Callithrix jacchus: one gene and its partner. The protein of the gene in region 2 purifies or fractionates together with the protein of the main gene of each other region. This does not show direct contact. Links are inferred from orthologs where the notes say so. Each region holds a gene or a part of one and is shown on either strand. Other genes may lie near its edges.

Region 1 (7,308 bases), on a different chromosome or scaffold from region 2:
TTTCTTTTTCTTTTTGAGAGACAGGGCCTTGCTCTCACCCAGGCTGGAGTGCAGAGGTGTGATCATGGCTCCAGCAATCCTCCCCACTCAACCCTGAGTCACTGGGACTATAAGCACACACCATCACATCTGGCTAATTTTTTTACTGCAAAGATGAGGTCTCACTATGTTGCCCAAGCTGGTCTCCAACTCAGGACTCAAACGAGCCTCCTGCCTTGGCCTCCCAAAGTGTTGGAATTACAGGTGTGAGTCACTGTGCCTGATCAACAATTTCTTTCTTTTTTTATTGAGACGGAGTCTTGCTCTGTTGCCCAGGCTAGAGTGCGATGGCAAGATCTCAGCTCACTGCAACCTCTGCCACCTAGGTCCAAGTGATTCTCCTGCCTCAGCCTCCCAAGTATCTGGGACTATAGGCACATGCCTCCATGCCCTGCTAATGTTTTGTGTGTATTTAGTAGAGACTGGGTTTCGACATGTTGGCCAGGCTGGTCTGGAACTCCTGACCTCAAGTGATTGGCCCACCTCCACCTCCCGAAGTGCTGGGATTACAGGTGTGAGCTACCGCACCTAGCCAACAATTTCTTTTTAATCTGGGACAAAACCTAGGTTTTAAGCTTTGTTTTTCATAGTTAGAAACTAACTATGATTTGAAACCATTCAAAGGTAAACATCGCTGATGGCAGATTTTTTTTTTTTTTTTTTTTTTTTTTTGAGACAGTTTCACTCTTGGCACCCAGGCTGGTATGCAATGGTGAGGTCTCAAAAAAAAAAAAATAAATAAATAACAGGTAACCAAAAAAGAAAAAGGTGGCTAGAAGATTGTATGCCTTAAATTGGTAGAGACTGGTCGGGCGCGGTGGCTCACGCCTATAATCCCAGCACTTTGGGAGGCCAAGGCGGGTAGATCATGAGGTCAAGAGATCGAGACCATCCTGATAAACAAGGTGAAACCCTGTCTCTACTAAAAATACAAAAATTAGCCGGGCATGGTGGTGTGCACCTGTAGTCCCAGCTACTCGGGAGGCTGAGGCAGGAGAATTGCTTGAACCCAGGAGGCGGAGGTCGCGGTGAGCCAAGATCGTGCCATTGCACTCCAGTCTGGGTAACAAGAGCGAAACTCTGTCTCAAAAAAAAAAAAAAATTGGTAGACTGTGTCTTATACTTTTGTATGTATGCGTAATACAGTGTACCTAGGACAGTGCTGAGCCTCATTAAACTTTCTTTTTTTATTTTTATTTTTTATCTTTTTGGAGACAGTCTCACTTTATCCCCCAGGCTGGAGTGCAGTGGTGTGATCTTGGCTCACTGCAGCCTCCATCTCCCAGGTTCAAGTGATTCTCCTGCCTCAGCCTTTCAAATGGCTGGGATACAGGTGCCTGCTAATTTTTTTTTTGAGACAGAGTCTCACTCTGTCACTCAGGCTGGAGTGCAGCGGCATGATTACCTCACTGCAGCCTCTGCGACCCAGGTTCAAGCAATTCTCCTGCCTCAGCCTCCTAAGTAGCTGGGATTACATGTGTGTGCCACCACGCCCAGCTAATTTTTAGTAGAGACGGGGTTTCACCTTGTTGGTCAGGCTGGTCTTGAACTTGTGACCTCGTGATCCGCCTGCCTCAGCGTCCCAAAGTGCTGTGATTACAGGCATGAGGCACCGTGGCCAATCTTAAACATTTGTTGATTGGCTGGACAATAAATAACTTGCTTTAAGAGGAGAAGAGGACCAAAAAAAAAAGTCGATAGGATCTCCTTAGTTAAGTTTCAGCCACAGAACCTTTACTAGGAACAACTCCTTTTCACATGTCAAACTGCTTTCGTTTGGGGAAGAGGATAAGGGGAAGTTGCATGGTGGGATGTCCAGAGATAGAGCATCTGGAAGATAAAATATTTTGCTGTCTCTTCCCCAGAAATAGCAATGAAAAACAAATTTACTTGTATTCTGTTTTCCTTTGACTGGACAGCCTGCCAGCTTAGATCTTAATTATCTGTCTCTGCTCCCTGTCTCTATTATTGTTGTTTCCTCTTTAATAATGGTCAAGTCCAAAGAAACCTGAGAAGCCCTGTTCCTAGCACCTTTTCCTGAGTCACCAGGGACCCCCTCCTTCTCCCCCAGGGAATTACTGGAAACAAGTCTTTCTCCTTGGGTCAGGCTCCACACAGCACTAATATGGCTAATCGCCAGAGTAAAGAACAGGGAAAGCTGGAGTTTGGATGAGTCTGGTTAAAGTCCATGCTAGACAGTCCAAATCCCTTGACCCCAAGTGGGAGGGCCCTTCTCTCCAGCAGAGCCAGATTTATGCAAGACATTTAGTATGTCAAAGTATCAGTCTCTAGCCTTGGAGGCAGCTCTCCTGGGTCCCGTTTTAGCTCCTCCCCTGGGTGATCCAGGTTAATTGAGCTCTCCACTCCTTTCTTCTCAAAAACTTTAGACCTTTGACCTAAGAAAGCAAGCAAGAAAGGTCAGTGCAGGACTGGGAGCTCTTGAGGACGCAAGAATTAGAGTAAAAGGAAGGGAAGATTGGCATTAAACGAATAGACTTCAGAACTGTAGCCTTTTCCCGGTCCAACCCTTCACAGATGGGTAATGGGGAAGGGTCCAAGTCCCTCTCCAAAGCCAGTTCTCAAGGGCCTCGGGTTCCAGCCTGGCCGAGGAGCGCCATCTGGCGGCCAATCCGCAACCTGGATTCTCTGCCTCATCGGATTTTCTGAAGCCCTAACCAGATCTGAGCTGGAGAGTTTCACCTCCTCCTCTTCGTCACTCCGGGGACTCCGCCCTGCCAGGAACTCTCCTCTTCAAGGGGGTACAGGCCCAAGCGCCTCACCCGCAGGAAAGCTGCCCATCCTCCCTCCAGGGTAGAACGCTTTTCCAGTAGTCTGCTTAAAGCTTCCCCCAGGGATCCGCCCCGCCTGGTGGCCCAGAGAGCCTGCCCCTCGTCCTCCAGTTTCCCCTGGAGGAAGGAGAGGGAACGTGCTGCACTGCGCCCCCAAGTTCAACCCCCAACTCGGTCCCTCCCGAGGAATAGATTCCTCTTCTCCTTCCCCCCGAGCCTTTGGGAGCCTCTTCCAGTGCACAGAACCCAAATCCAGGTTACTAATGAGCTCCCCTTACTCGTGCAAAGGGAACCCCCGCCCGGACTCAGGCTCCGCTCCCCTGAGTTTGGCCCCAAGCCCCCGGCCCCGCCGCCCCTGGGACGCGGCCACAGGCTTCTCACCACCCACGCCAGTGGGCGGGGCTCCCACGGCCCGGCCCCGGGTGGGCGGTTGCACGATGACGTCACTTCCGCCCGGGCCTGGCCGAGGTTCTTGCTCCGTAGGCCGAGGGGTGGTACGGAGGTGGCAGCTGTGGGAAGAGGCGGCGCGGGAGGCCGCAGAGCTCGAGCTCGGACCAATCCCCGCGTCCCGGGCCGCGATCCTGACCCTGCAGCGCACCGGGAAGCGAAACCGGCCGGATGGGCCGCTGAGCCCGAATCGGGCACTGGTGAGGCTCCGGCAGAGCGGGCAGCCAGGGACGGGAGCGGGCCCGCGGGGTTGCAGGGTCTGGAAGCCGGGGATGCGGGGCCGGGAGAGGAGAGGCTCAGGCCTACCTCTCCTGCCCGCCTGCCGGGGAGGCGGGAGCTGGGCGAGCCGCAGACGGGCGCTGGGGGCACAGTGAGGCCTGCCTGGGGGAGGCCTGGGTATAAGGAGGGGGCGGGTGACTGGGGTCATTAATGGGACGGAGGACCGGCACTTAGGATTCTTATCTAGAACGGTGACGTTGGGGGAGGAGGGGAGAGTATGCAACCGGCCAGAGCTTTGGGAAGAGGATGACTGAGTGGGGGAGGGAGAAACCCAGAGGCTTGGAAAAATTTTCCATGGCCCTAATTGAGAGAGAGGTTTGAAGAGCTCTTCTCTCCCTAGAGGGTTGTGTGGAACACCTGTAGTAGGGTCTCCCCGGAGTTTAGAGGGTCAGTTACAAGGTTTGGGAAAGGCCAGTGCGGAGAGTCCTTACACTGAGTGGGTGTGCAAAAGCCTGGCCACCTCCACGTACCTGAGCCTCCACACCTTTCCAGTGTGGAGCTCCCCGGAGCTGAGATCAGGATGTTCCGCTTCATGAGGGATGTGGAGCCTGAGGATCCCATGTTCCTGATGTGAGTATTCCCTCCCCCTCAAGCTCTCCCACTCCAGGTCTCTGAGCAGTTAAGGCAGACATCTGGGTTCCCATTGCTGGGAATGGTTGGAACTGGTTGGATACCCAGCTCCCCCCTAGCAGGAAGTAGCCTATTGGTGCCACTGTTGCCCTGTGCGTATTTTTTTGCAGGGTGGTGGAGGGATTGACAGCTTGGTGCTTCTGCCATCCATACTATGTGCTCACTTCACAGGGACCCCTTTGCTATTCACCGTCAGCATATGAGCCGTATGTTGTCAGGTGGCTTTGGATATAGCCCCTTCCTCAGCATCACAGATGGCAACATGCCAGGGACCAGGCCTGCCAGCCGCAGGATGCAGCAGGTAATGGTGCTGAGACACACCTGAGACCCAAAGGTTGGAGGGTGGTTAGGAAGGCACATTAGTTTTCTTGCCCTACAGCTAACTGAACAAGTGAAATGCTCTAGGAGTGGGGGAAAGGGTCAGGAAAAAGAGCTTTATGACTCCCTTTCGAGAGGATGGAAAACAAAAATTGAGGCCATGGGCCTGGTTTGGGATTGTAAGGAGATAGGATGAAGTCTCTAATTTCTGTTCCTCATGTGTTCCTGTAGACTGGAGCTGTCTCCCCCTTTGGGATGCTGGGAATGGTGAGTCCTCATCTCCCTTGGGCCTTCCATTTCACACACACTCTCTACCCTTAGATATTATTCCCAAATTTGCCTCTTTGGCATAGTTTCATGGGTAACCCCAGAATCTTCTTTTCATGATGTTCACAAAGCTCTGAGCCTTTTAGATGCTAGGAGCCCTGTGGATTAAAGGTGTTATTTTTATTATTTTTTTTTTTGAGACAGCATCTTGCCCTGTCACCCAGGGTGGAGTGCAGTGGCATGATCTCAGCTCACTGCAACCTCCACCTCCCAGGTTCAAGTGATTCTCGTGCCTCAGCCCTCTGAGTAGCTGTGATTACAGGCAGAGCCACCATGCCCCTTTTTTGTATTTTTAGTAGAGACAGGGTTTCACCATGTTGGCCAGGCTGGTCTTGAACTCCTGACCTCAAGTGATCCGCCCGCCTCAGCCTCCCAGAATGCTGGGATTATAGGCGTGAGTGCTGGGATTACAGGTGTAGGCCACTGTACCTGGCGAAAGGTGTTACTAAGTCTGGTTGGGAGGCTGAGACGGCTGATAACTTGAGGTCAGGAGTTTGAGACCAGACTGGCCAACATGGTGAAACCTCGTCTCTACTAAAAATACCAAAAAAGCCAGGCATGGTGGTGCATGCCTGTAGTCCCAGCTATGCTGGAGGCTGAGAATCGCTTGCACCCAGGAGACAGAGGTTGCGGAGAGCTGAGACTTCACCACTGCACACCAGCCTGGGCAACAGAGCCAGACTCCATCTCAAAAAAAAAAAAGAAAAGATGTTATTAACTCTTGTACTCCTAGAAGTTCATACTCATTAGGAAGATGTAATTGTCTAGCAAAATCTGGTCTTTGCCTTATCTCTTTAGAGTTTAGAATCCATTAACTTTGGCTTGCTTCCTAAAGATCGGGGGGAATACAGAAGGCAGGAAAAGGAAAATTGAATCCGAGCAGTCATAGAGACTGAGGAGGGGTCAGCAGCTTACTGGAGGAGAAACATGAGTATTCTGGTTCTGTTAAGGGAGAATGAGAAAGACTACTTGCTAGATGTGAAGGAAGATGAAATGTGCAGCCATGTGGCTCGTGGGTTCCTAAACAGGATCAGCTCTGAACACTGACTTTGCTTTCCTGACTATGTTCCATCTCTTTCCTCCAGTCCGGTGGCTTCATGGACATGTTTGGGATGATGAACGACATGATTGGTAACATGGTGAGCCTTGCCCCACACCCTTCCCTGGCCTTGCTCTCAGTGATGGCTGACAACACCTTGAACCCTCTAAGGCAAGAGGGAGACAGAATGCTAGTGAAGGGTAAAGTACTGGATAAAGTAATTGAAGCAGAGAGCCTTGGGGACCGTGTATCTGCTGTCATGCCTGCCTGAAGCAGCAGCAGCACTTTTATGTAGCATACAATTAAGTCTCTGTCTCTTCAGGTCCTTCTTGACTGTGATTGGACTGAGAGGAATTTGGGAGGGTAAAATGAGTCCTGATGTTTTTTCAGTTGTTACATTTTGTGAGAAAGATACAGGCTAGAACAGGGAGCTGAAGGGTGAAATCCTTCACCAGGGGGGAAGTGCCTCCTCATTCAGCCCTCCCCTACCTACCCTGTCCTTAGGAACACATGACAGCTGGAGGCAATTGCCAGACCTTCTCATCTTCTACTGTCATCTCCTACTCCAATACCGGCGATGGTGCCCCCAAGGTTTACCAAGAGACATCAGAGATGCGCTCGGCACCAGGCGGGGTGAGCCCTCCTATCCCAGAGAACTTGGGATTGAGTGGCACTCACAGAAACCCTGGCTGCTTTTTTCGGATTGGGTTGTGGGTGGTGTGTTTATCCTGAGATGGCCAGGGCTTTGGAAGGGGTGGCTGAGTGTACCATGTTCTGCCTCATCCCAGATCCGGGAGACACGGAGGACTGTTCGGGATTCAGACAGTGGACTGGAACAGATGTCCATCGGGCATCACATCCGGGACAGGGCTCACATCCTCCAGCGCTCCCGAAACCATCGCACAGGGGACCAGGAGGAGCGGCAGGACTATATCAACCTGGATGAGAGTGAGCCTTCCCTCCCACTTCCTGGCTGGCATTCCCTAGTAGGAGACTTCCCTACCCCATAAACTTCTGGGCAAAGCTCTGGGTCAACCCCATATTCTTTTGCTTTCTTTTCTTTTTTTTTTTTGAGATGGAGTCTCACTCTTGTTGCCCAGGTGTCCAGGCTGCAGTGCAATGGCATGATTTCAGCTCAGTGCAACCTCCTCCTCCTGGGTTTAAGCAATTCTGCCTCAACCTTCCAAGTAGCTGGGATTACAGGCACGCACCACACGCCCAGCTAATTTCTATATTTTTAGTAGAGACAGCATTTCACCATGTTGACCAGGCTGGTCTCAAACTCCTGACCTCAGGTGATCCACCTGCCTCGGCCTCCTAAAGTCCTGGGATTACAGGCAGGAGCCACCATGCCCAGCTGTAGGCCCATATTCTTACTGCATTTGGAACCTCCTCAGCTCAGGGGCTGTGTCAGACGGGGCTGAGTCAGGTGCTGGCAGT
Region 2 (7,368 bases):
CGAAACCTTAGTCAAGTCTAAGACTAAGATGAACATCAGACAAAAGAGAAGAGAGTGAAAAAAAATCTAAGGAAAAAAAAGGCTTCAGAAAGGAGATACTTTTTGCTGCTCTTGGACCGATAGACCCAGAAGAGAAAGCTCAGACACAGAAACCCTGAGAGGTCCCAGATAGATATCTCCCCGAAGGCAAACTTCCAAACACAAGCCCCCCCCAACAACTCCAAAGATCCCCCAAAGAGTAGAGATAGACCACTCCCAAAGACGGTCCCAAACAGAAACCTCTCCAGGGGAAGCTCCTGACACAGACCTCCCTCTCCATATAGTGAGCCCCACAATAAAGGACACCACAAGAGTGGGCCAGAGGGACCGTCACCACATATTTTCCCACGGGGGAGCCCCCAGAGGGAATGAGAGGCAGAGACCAGCTAGCAAAAGCGGACCGGAGACGGAGGCCAATCCCAGCACCCGACGAGCCTCGCCTCCTAGCTCCGTACCTCCTGCGGCCCCCGCAGCACCAGCCGGACCCTCGGAGCGCGCGGGAACCAGGGGAGGGACAGCGCCGCCGCAAAGGCTCCAGTCTTCCTCCCGGGCCGGGGTAGGCTCCGCTGGGCCCCGCCCCCGCCGCCTGCCCGCCCCCCCAGCTTCCGTCAGGCAAGACGAATTCCGGCACGAAGAGCAGGCGAGTGCCGCGCAGCTCCCCCGAGAGACCGGCGGGGGAATGACGGCCAGGATCTGGCCTGGGTGTGCGCGGGAGCCCAAGGTTCTAGGCTCCATGGAGGTGGGCCGATGTTCTGGTGTCTCTGAGACCCAAATATGCTCTCTCTAAAGGCGATCAGAGTACAGTTAGTCTTCGTTTACTCAACCACTTATTCGTCAAATGTTTTCTGAGCATCTTCTCTGTCTGTGCCAGGTACAGGGCCATATACTGAGAGAAGGTGGACGAGTTAGACATGGTGGCTGCCGATCAGAACTCACGGTCTAGAGAAGCTACATGTCTACCCAACAATTACTGAGATGCTATGGGGCACAGCAAAGGGGCATTTAACTTTGGGTCAGCGGACATTGAAGGGCTTGGGGGAAAGGGTATTCTAGGGTGGAGGAAACATGGCTACAGTCATGGAATTTTCTGGAACTATGATGACTTGAGTTCATTATTGGTGGTAGGAAGGACCTAAATATTGGTACTCAGGTCATTAAAAAAAATAAACAAATAATCAAAGGCCTTGTGTAGTAGGCCAAAGAGATCAAATTGATGGTCATGGAAAGCCACTGCCAATGAAGTGACATCATGAGTCCTTGAGGAAGATCACTCTGGCAGAAGAGGGAAGACTGGACAGAGATGAAACTAGGGACCAATTAGGAGACTACTGCTGTATTCCAAGTTTTTTGTTTTTGCTGTTGTTTTGTTGTTGTCGTTTTTTTTTTTTTTTTTTTTTTTTTTTTTTTTTGAGACAAGGTCTTGCTCTTTTGTCCATGCTAGAGTACATTGGTGTGATCATAACTCACTGCAGCCTCAAACCCCTGGGCTCAAGTGATCCTCCTGTCTCAGCCTCCAAAGTAGCTGGGACTACACATGCCACCACACCCAGCCTATTCCAAGATTTTTAAAAACGATGAGAGCCTGAATCAGGATGGAAAGGTGGAGATAGATTTGGGAAATATTTGGTAGGAAAATCAACAAAACTTGGCAACACATTGGAAGCCAAGCGTGAGACAGAGGGAGGAGTTCATAGCTTCCATCCTTCTCATATAGTGGCCAGGTGAGTGAGTTTAATCCATTTAACAAGATACGAAATTCAGGAAAGATAATAATTACATATAGCATTTGTTTTTTCTGTTGTTGAGGTGTGGGTAGAGAATGAAAAGTTCAACTTAAATATGGTAAGCCTTGGGGATGTGTGAAACAAACAAGAGATATCCAGTAGATAGTTGGATATACAGCTATGGAACCTGAAGAAAGGTTTAGGTTGGAGATATCAAGGGTTGAGATCATCAACAGACGGAATTAAAGCTGTGGGAATAAATGAGTTGCCTCAGATAGAACATGAAGTGGGAAGATAGCAAGATAGGTTGGCTAGCATTAGACTGAACTTTAAGCCACTGGCAGGCAGGGCAGGTGGTCTGTGAATCTTGTGCCCTCCCAACCTAGCAGAGTAGGCATTTTGGAAAGGGATACTGAGTGACTGGCTAAACAAATGACCCCTCCTTTCCAACCTAGCGAGCTTGTCCCATCCCTCCCTACTCAGTGATCGCTGTGGTCTGGATTGAGAACTCATAGGGTACAAGGGCACAGCTCCCTCTGGGATAGGCAGGGTAGGTGCATTGGCACATGCTGTTTTCCTGGAGGAAAACAGGTAAATCGTTTTAAAATTCCTTTGCCCTCTTTTTATTTTAGCTACCCTCTTTACATTGTAAAACTACTCCTCATATTCCTCCAATTTGACCCCAGAAAGCTCCAATTTAATTTAGCTCCACAAATAGAGGTTTGGGTGAGGGAATGACAACAAAGACAATTAAACTGTGCTCTTGTCCCCTATGAGTTCTCAATCCAGACCGCATTCGGCAAGACCAGCGTGATGAAAGTTTATATGAGAGGTGGGAGTACTGAGGACACAAGAAGCGGGGACCTCATCCCTCGAGCTTCCTTATAAACTCCAGGGCAGAGTCTGGGGCGCCATGTGTCCAGCTTTCCTAGGCTTAATGCTGAGATGGCACTCCCAGGTGGCTGACATGAAAGCAGCCTCGTAAAAGGGTCAGCGTCCTTAGGGTGATGAACCAGCTGGTGTTTGGTGATCCGGAGTGGATGAAAGGCGCAGGGTGAGGACGCCCTGCGTTCCCCTGGCTTGGTTGGGCAGGGCTTCCAGAGAACGATGAAAGCTCGGGGAACTGGGCTCAGAGTGTCTCTTGCCTTTGCCGGGAAGAAGCCGTGGACACACTCCAAGGTCGGAAAGGTAGCAGTGGGGACTCTCCCTCCAGAATCCTGGGTCACCTGGTCCCCACCCAACTCAGACTCCCTGGAGCCTTTCAGGGGACTCTCTAGGATTGGAAGTTGCTATGGCAACGAGGCTCTTGAAATACTGAAAACAGCCAAGCCCTAGAGAGGCTACCACCTGTACACCCCCCTTCCCACCCACGGGTAAAGTGGCGCCGCCTACGCACAGGAAAAGTCCGTGGGCTCCCGCCCCGGCGCGGAGACCACAGTGGACAGCCGGGGGCGGGAGGCCGCTCTGGCCCCAAACGGAGCCTCTCGCTGGTAGACTAGCCCGAGGGAGCCCTTCTGGGCGCAGCGCCGCTGAGCTGCTCTATGCTCCGACCGGAAGTGCTCTTCACCGCCTGCCTCCCACCCAGCTCTCTGGTCCCGGCGGTAAGATGGCGGCTGCCGCGGAATGCGATGTGGTAATGGCGGCGACCGAGCCAGAGCTGCTGGACGACGAAGAGGCGAAGAGGTAACCGGGTAGCAGGGTAGTAGAGGGGGCGAACTGCAGCTCCGTGGCTCAGGAAAACCCAGTTCCTGCCGTGATGCAGCCCTCAGCTGCTGAGGCGATGCCCCGCCCTCCGCAAACACCCCCCACAACCTGAGATCAAGGCCGGATGGACCCCCTTAAGGGGCGCTCTTGGGGGTCGGCCTTCCTTTCCCGCTTCCGCCTGGTGAAGGACCTGAGACATGGTCTAGTTCTTCAGCGGAGAGGACGATCGTCCTTATAGGAGAGGCCGGGTCTCGGAGGGCAATTTCAGAGGTCTGATGCGAGGTGGGGGAGGCGGCGCGGCGTCGATGACGACTTCCTTACATCTCCCCCGACCCCCGCCTTTCTCTTGTTAACTTCTGTGCATTGTTGCCTGTCTGCACTTTCCATCTCCAGAACCTTTGCTTTCCTCACCCCGTTTTCCCTAGTACTTGTACCCCAGCGATCACTAGTCTAGGGTTCGAGGTGAGTGTGTCTCCGTAATTGACCTGATTGCCCCCTGGTTATCCCGGAAGTCAAAGATGATGAAGAAAAAAGGAAGAGTGAGGGGCTTATCTGGTGTTATACACGTGAGACTCCTCTTCGTATCCTTCCTTATCCTTCCCAGCACTGTTCTTTTCTTAAGCAGCAAGGAAGAGGGCAGCTGCTTGGGCGCTGTTGGCACTCCGAAGCACCCGCAGTGGCTCGGGATTGCCAGTCGTACTAGCCAAGGGAGCTGCTGAGTGAGTGGTTTTCCAGAACACTCTAGATTCTGGCAACAGTTAGGCCAAATTATTGGAAGTGGGGTTGGAACAGAGTTGTGGGTAGTCATACTTGTTCTAATCCTAAAACAGAATTGACAAAAAGGTTCTAGAAGTTTGGAGCCCTTTTCTCATCAGCTGCAGGTTAATCTAATGCTTTTGTTCAAGATGACTACAGTGCCTTCAGTCTCCTTCCCACATACTTTATATCTTTCATACCAAGCCCGTTATGTCTTCAGGCTGCGTAATTTGAGGTGGCGGTGTAGAATTAGTTCATGAGATCTGAAATCAGTATTCTGAAGTTTTTACTATCTGATTAAGTTAAAAATATAAGAGGTACTCAGGTGCAGTGAATAGTTTTCAAGCTGTTATCACAGCCAGTGTCTCCATCTGTTGGGTGCTGAGAGGTCTGACAAAGCATAATAGGCCCCTGCGATATCAGAGAAGCCAGGAAACCAGAGTCTAGTCTTTGTTCTTAATTTTGAGTTTTCATGTTGTTCCTACTTCTTTCTAGATATTGCAAGTTAAGCATCATCAACCCTTATACATCATTAAGGAGTTGCAAAATGGGAGACAAAACTCTGCCCAGCGAAGACAGCCTAAATTAATTGTAGAGATTTACTTGTATTTGGAAAGAGTTCAGTGGTTCTTTATATTATAAATGGGGACTTGGCCATAGGTAACTTTAAAAACTCATCGTGCTCACTGTAAATCTCTGATGCAGAGTGTCCCTGTTTTGGACTTCATTTCAAAGCCTCCTATCTAAAGCAAATAAATTTCTTCAATCACAGCCTGAGAGGATATTCTATCATAAAATTGGAGTAAATGAACCTGAAGACATATTATATAAAATAGGTTATGCTATAATGTGACCACATCACACAAAACATAGTATTTGGTAGCAGTACAATAAAATAAATAAGGTAAACTACCTTATTACTTAAGGTAGTTTAATAACTACTTTATTTCCTGGAATTTAAGATGTCATTAGGCCAGGCACAGTAGTTCACACCTGTAATCCCAGCACTTTGGGAGGCCGAGGTGGTGGGTCACCTGAGGTCAGGAGTTTGAGACTAGAGTGGCCAACGTGGTGAAACCCTGTCTCTACTAAGAATATAAAAATTAGCCAGGTGTAATGGTGTGCTCCTTTAATTCCAGTTACACCAGATGCTGAGGCAAGAGAATCGCTTAAACTCTGAAGGTAGAGGTTGCAGTGAACTGAGATCACGCCATTGCACTCCCACCTGGGTAACAATGAGATTCCATTTAACATCATTTATTGCAGAATGCAAATTATTTTATCTGTCACTAAGAAAATATAACTGTAAATTAAACTATGAACACATGTGTTGTTCCTGTAGTTCAAATAGTGAGAGAAAAAAAATTTTTTTAGTTGAAAAAAGGCTGGGTCTTGTGGCTCACACCTGTAATCCCAGCACTTTGGGAGGCCGAGGTGAGTGGATCACCTGAGGTCAGGCGTTTGAGACCAGCCTGACTAATATGGTGAAACCCCATCTCTACTAAAGATACAAAAATTAGCTGAGTGTGGTGGTGCACGCCTGAGTGGAGATTATTGCACTCCATCCTGGGCAACAAGAGCAAAACTCCATCTCAAAAAAACAAAAATTTTAAAAAAGGAAAAAAAAAAATGCATTCTTATCAGATTTTTATATTTCTCATATATAGCACTCTTTTTGACATAAACATTTATTATTATGTCGCTTCTGTGCACAAATCAAAAGGAAAATAAATGAAACAAAATCATTTTAACTTTTTCCATATCAGACATCCTTAGAAGAATAAACATTAGGGGCTGGGCACAGTGCTTCATGCCTGTAATCCCAGCACTTTGGGAGGCCAGGGCAGGTGGATCACTTGAGGTCAGGAGTTCGAGACCAGTCTTACCAACATGGTGAAACCCTGTCTCTACTAAAAATGTCAAAATTAGCCGGACACAGTGGTACACGCCTGTAATCCCAGTACTCAGGAGGCTGAGGCAGGAGAATCACCTGAACCCAGGAGGTAGAGGTTGCAGTGAGCCAAGATTGTGCCATTGCACTCCAGCCTGGGCAACAAGAGCAAAATTCTGTCTTGAGAAAGAAAAAATAGTAAACATTAGGCTCTGTTAGTATGAAAAAGCCTTGTTTATATATGATTTTCTAGTGCTGAAAATAGGGTAGAGATATAGAAGCTTTGGAGGGAGGTGGTTTTCTGTTTTTCATATTTCCTGGATTCCTTATAGCAGAGGGCAGTGATAGGAACATCCCTTACAAATGCCCTTTTACTATCTGGCTTGGTTAGGGTTCTTTGGCCAAGTTCCTGCCTCTCTCGTTACAGTCCTACTACCAGTTCATTTAGGGATACAAGAGGTAATGAGTCTCTTGGGTTGTTTTTGTGAGGTTCAGCAGGAGTCCTTCCTTCCTTAGATCTTGGCTTAAAATGTGTCCTGCTACTGCTAAATTGTCACAGTCCCACTGGGGGCAAAATGAGAGGAGCTTTTAAGACGTTGGACTTTACAGTTGCAGCATTTTAAATGGCTGCATGTTTTAGTTCCTTAGCTTTAGTGTCTCTAGAGAGAAAAGAAATGGATTTCAGTTTTTTTGCATGTCTGTTTCCCACTGACAAAGTTCTGTTTCCCTTATAGCAGCCAAGAAGCTAAAATAAGGCTAGGCATAGTGGCTCATGCCTATAATCCTAACACTTTGTGAGGCTAAGGTGAGAGGATTGCTTGAGCCCAGAAGTTTGAGACTAGCCTGGACAACATAGTGAGACTAAGTCTCTACAAAAACATTTAAGGCTGGAATTACACCCCTGTAATTCCAGCACTTTGGGAGGCTGAGGCCAGTGGACTGCTTGAGGCCAGGAGTTCGAGACCAACCTGGGCAACATGGTGAAACCCAATCTCTGTTTAAAAAAAATACAAAAATTAGCTGAGTGTGGTGGTGCATACCTTTTGGCCCTGATGCTTGGGAGGCTGAGTTAGGAAGGTTGCGGCTACAGTGAGATGTGATCATACTACTGCACTCCATCCTGGGTGATAGAGTGAAACCCTGTCTCAAAAAAAAAAAAAAAACAAAAAAGATTGGGGCTAAAATAAAAGACTTATAGTTGGTACTCCAAAATAGATCAGGATTCTGTTCATGAAGAGTAATTCTCTTTGCTTA

Evidence for each region.
Region 1: the proteins of DNAJC7 (region 2) and MLF2 purify together in Homo sapiens (affinity purification with mass spectrometry; 3 studies listed by BioGRID and IntAct, with this or other methods). This does not show direct contact. The link is inferred for Callithrix jacchus from reciprocal best matches to the Homo sapiens genes DNAJC7 and MLF2.

What each region holds. Positions count from the first base shown.
Region 1 is NC_133510.1:21,021,475-21,028,782, reverse strand, and holds the start of MLF2 (myeloid leukemia factor 2), read left to right. Parts: upstream 1-3,321; 5' UTR 3,322-3,475; intron 3,476-4,046; 5' UTR 4,047-4,074; coding exon 4,075-4,124; intron 4,125-4,355; coding exon 4,356-4,485; intron 4,486-4,733; coding exon 4,734-4,769; intron 4,770-5,914; coding exon 5,915-5,968; intron 5,969-6,372; coding exon 6,373-6,501; intron 6,502-6,656; coding exon 6,657-6,816; intron 6,817-7,308.
Region 2 is NC_133506.1:91,211,010-91,218,377, forward strand, and holds the start of DNAJC7 (dnaJ homolog subfamily C member 7), read left to right. Parts: upstream 1-3,354; 5' UTR 3,355-3,369; coding exon 3,370-3,446; exon of another isoform or gene 3,447-3,760; intron 3,761-3,804; exon of another isoform or gene 3,805-3,929; intron 3,930-7,368. Other genes in the region: NKIRAS2 (NF-kappa-B inhibitor-interacting Ras-like protein 2), read right to left, coding at 495-774. UniProt on the Homo sapiens protein: Acts as a co-chaperone regulating the molecular chaperones HSP70 and HSP90 in folding of steroid receptors, such as the glucocorticoid receptor and the progesterone receptor.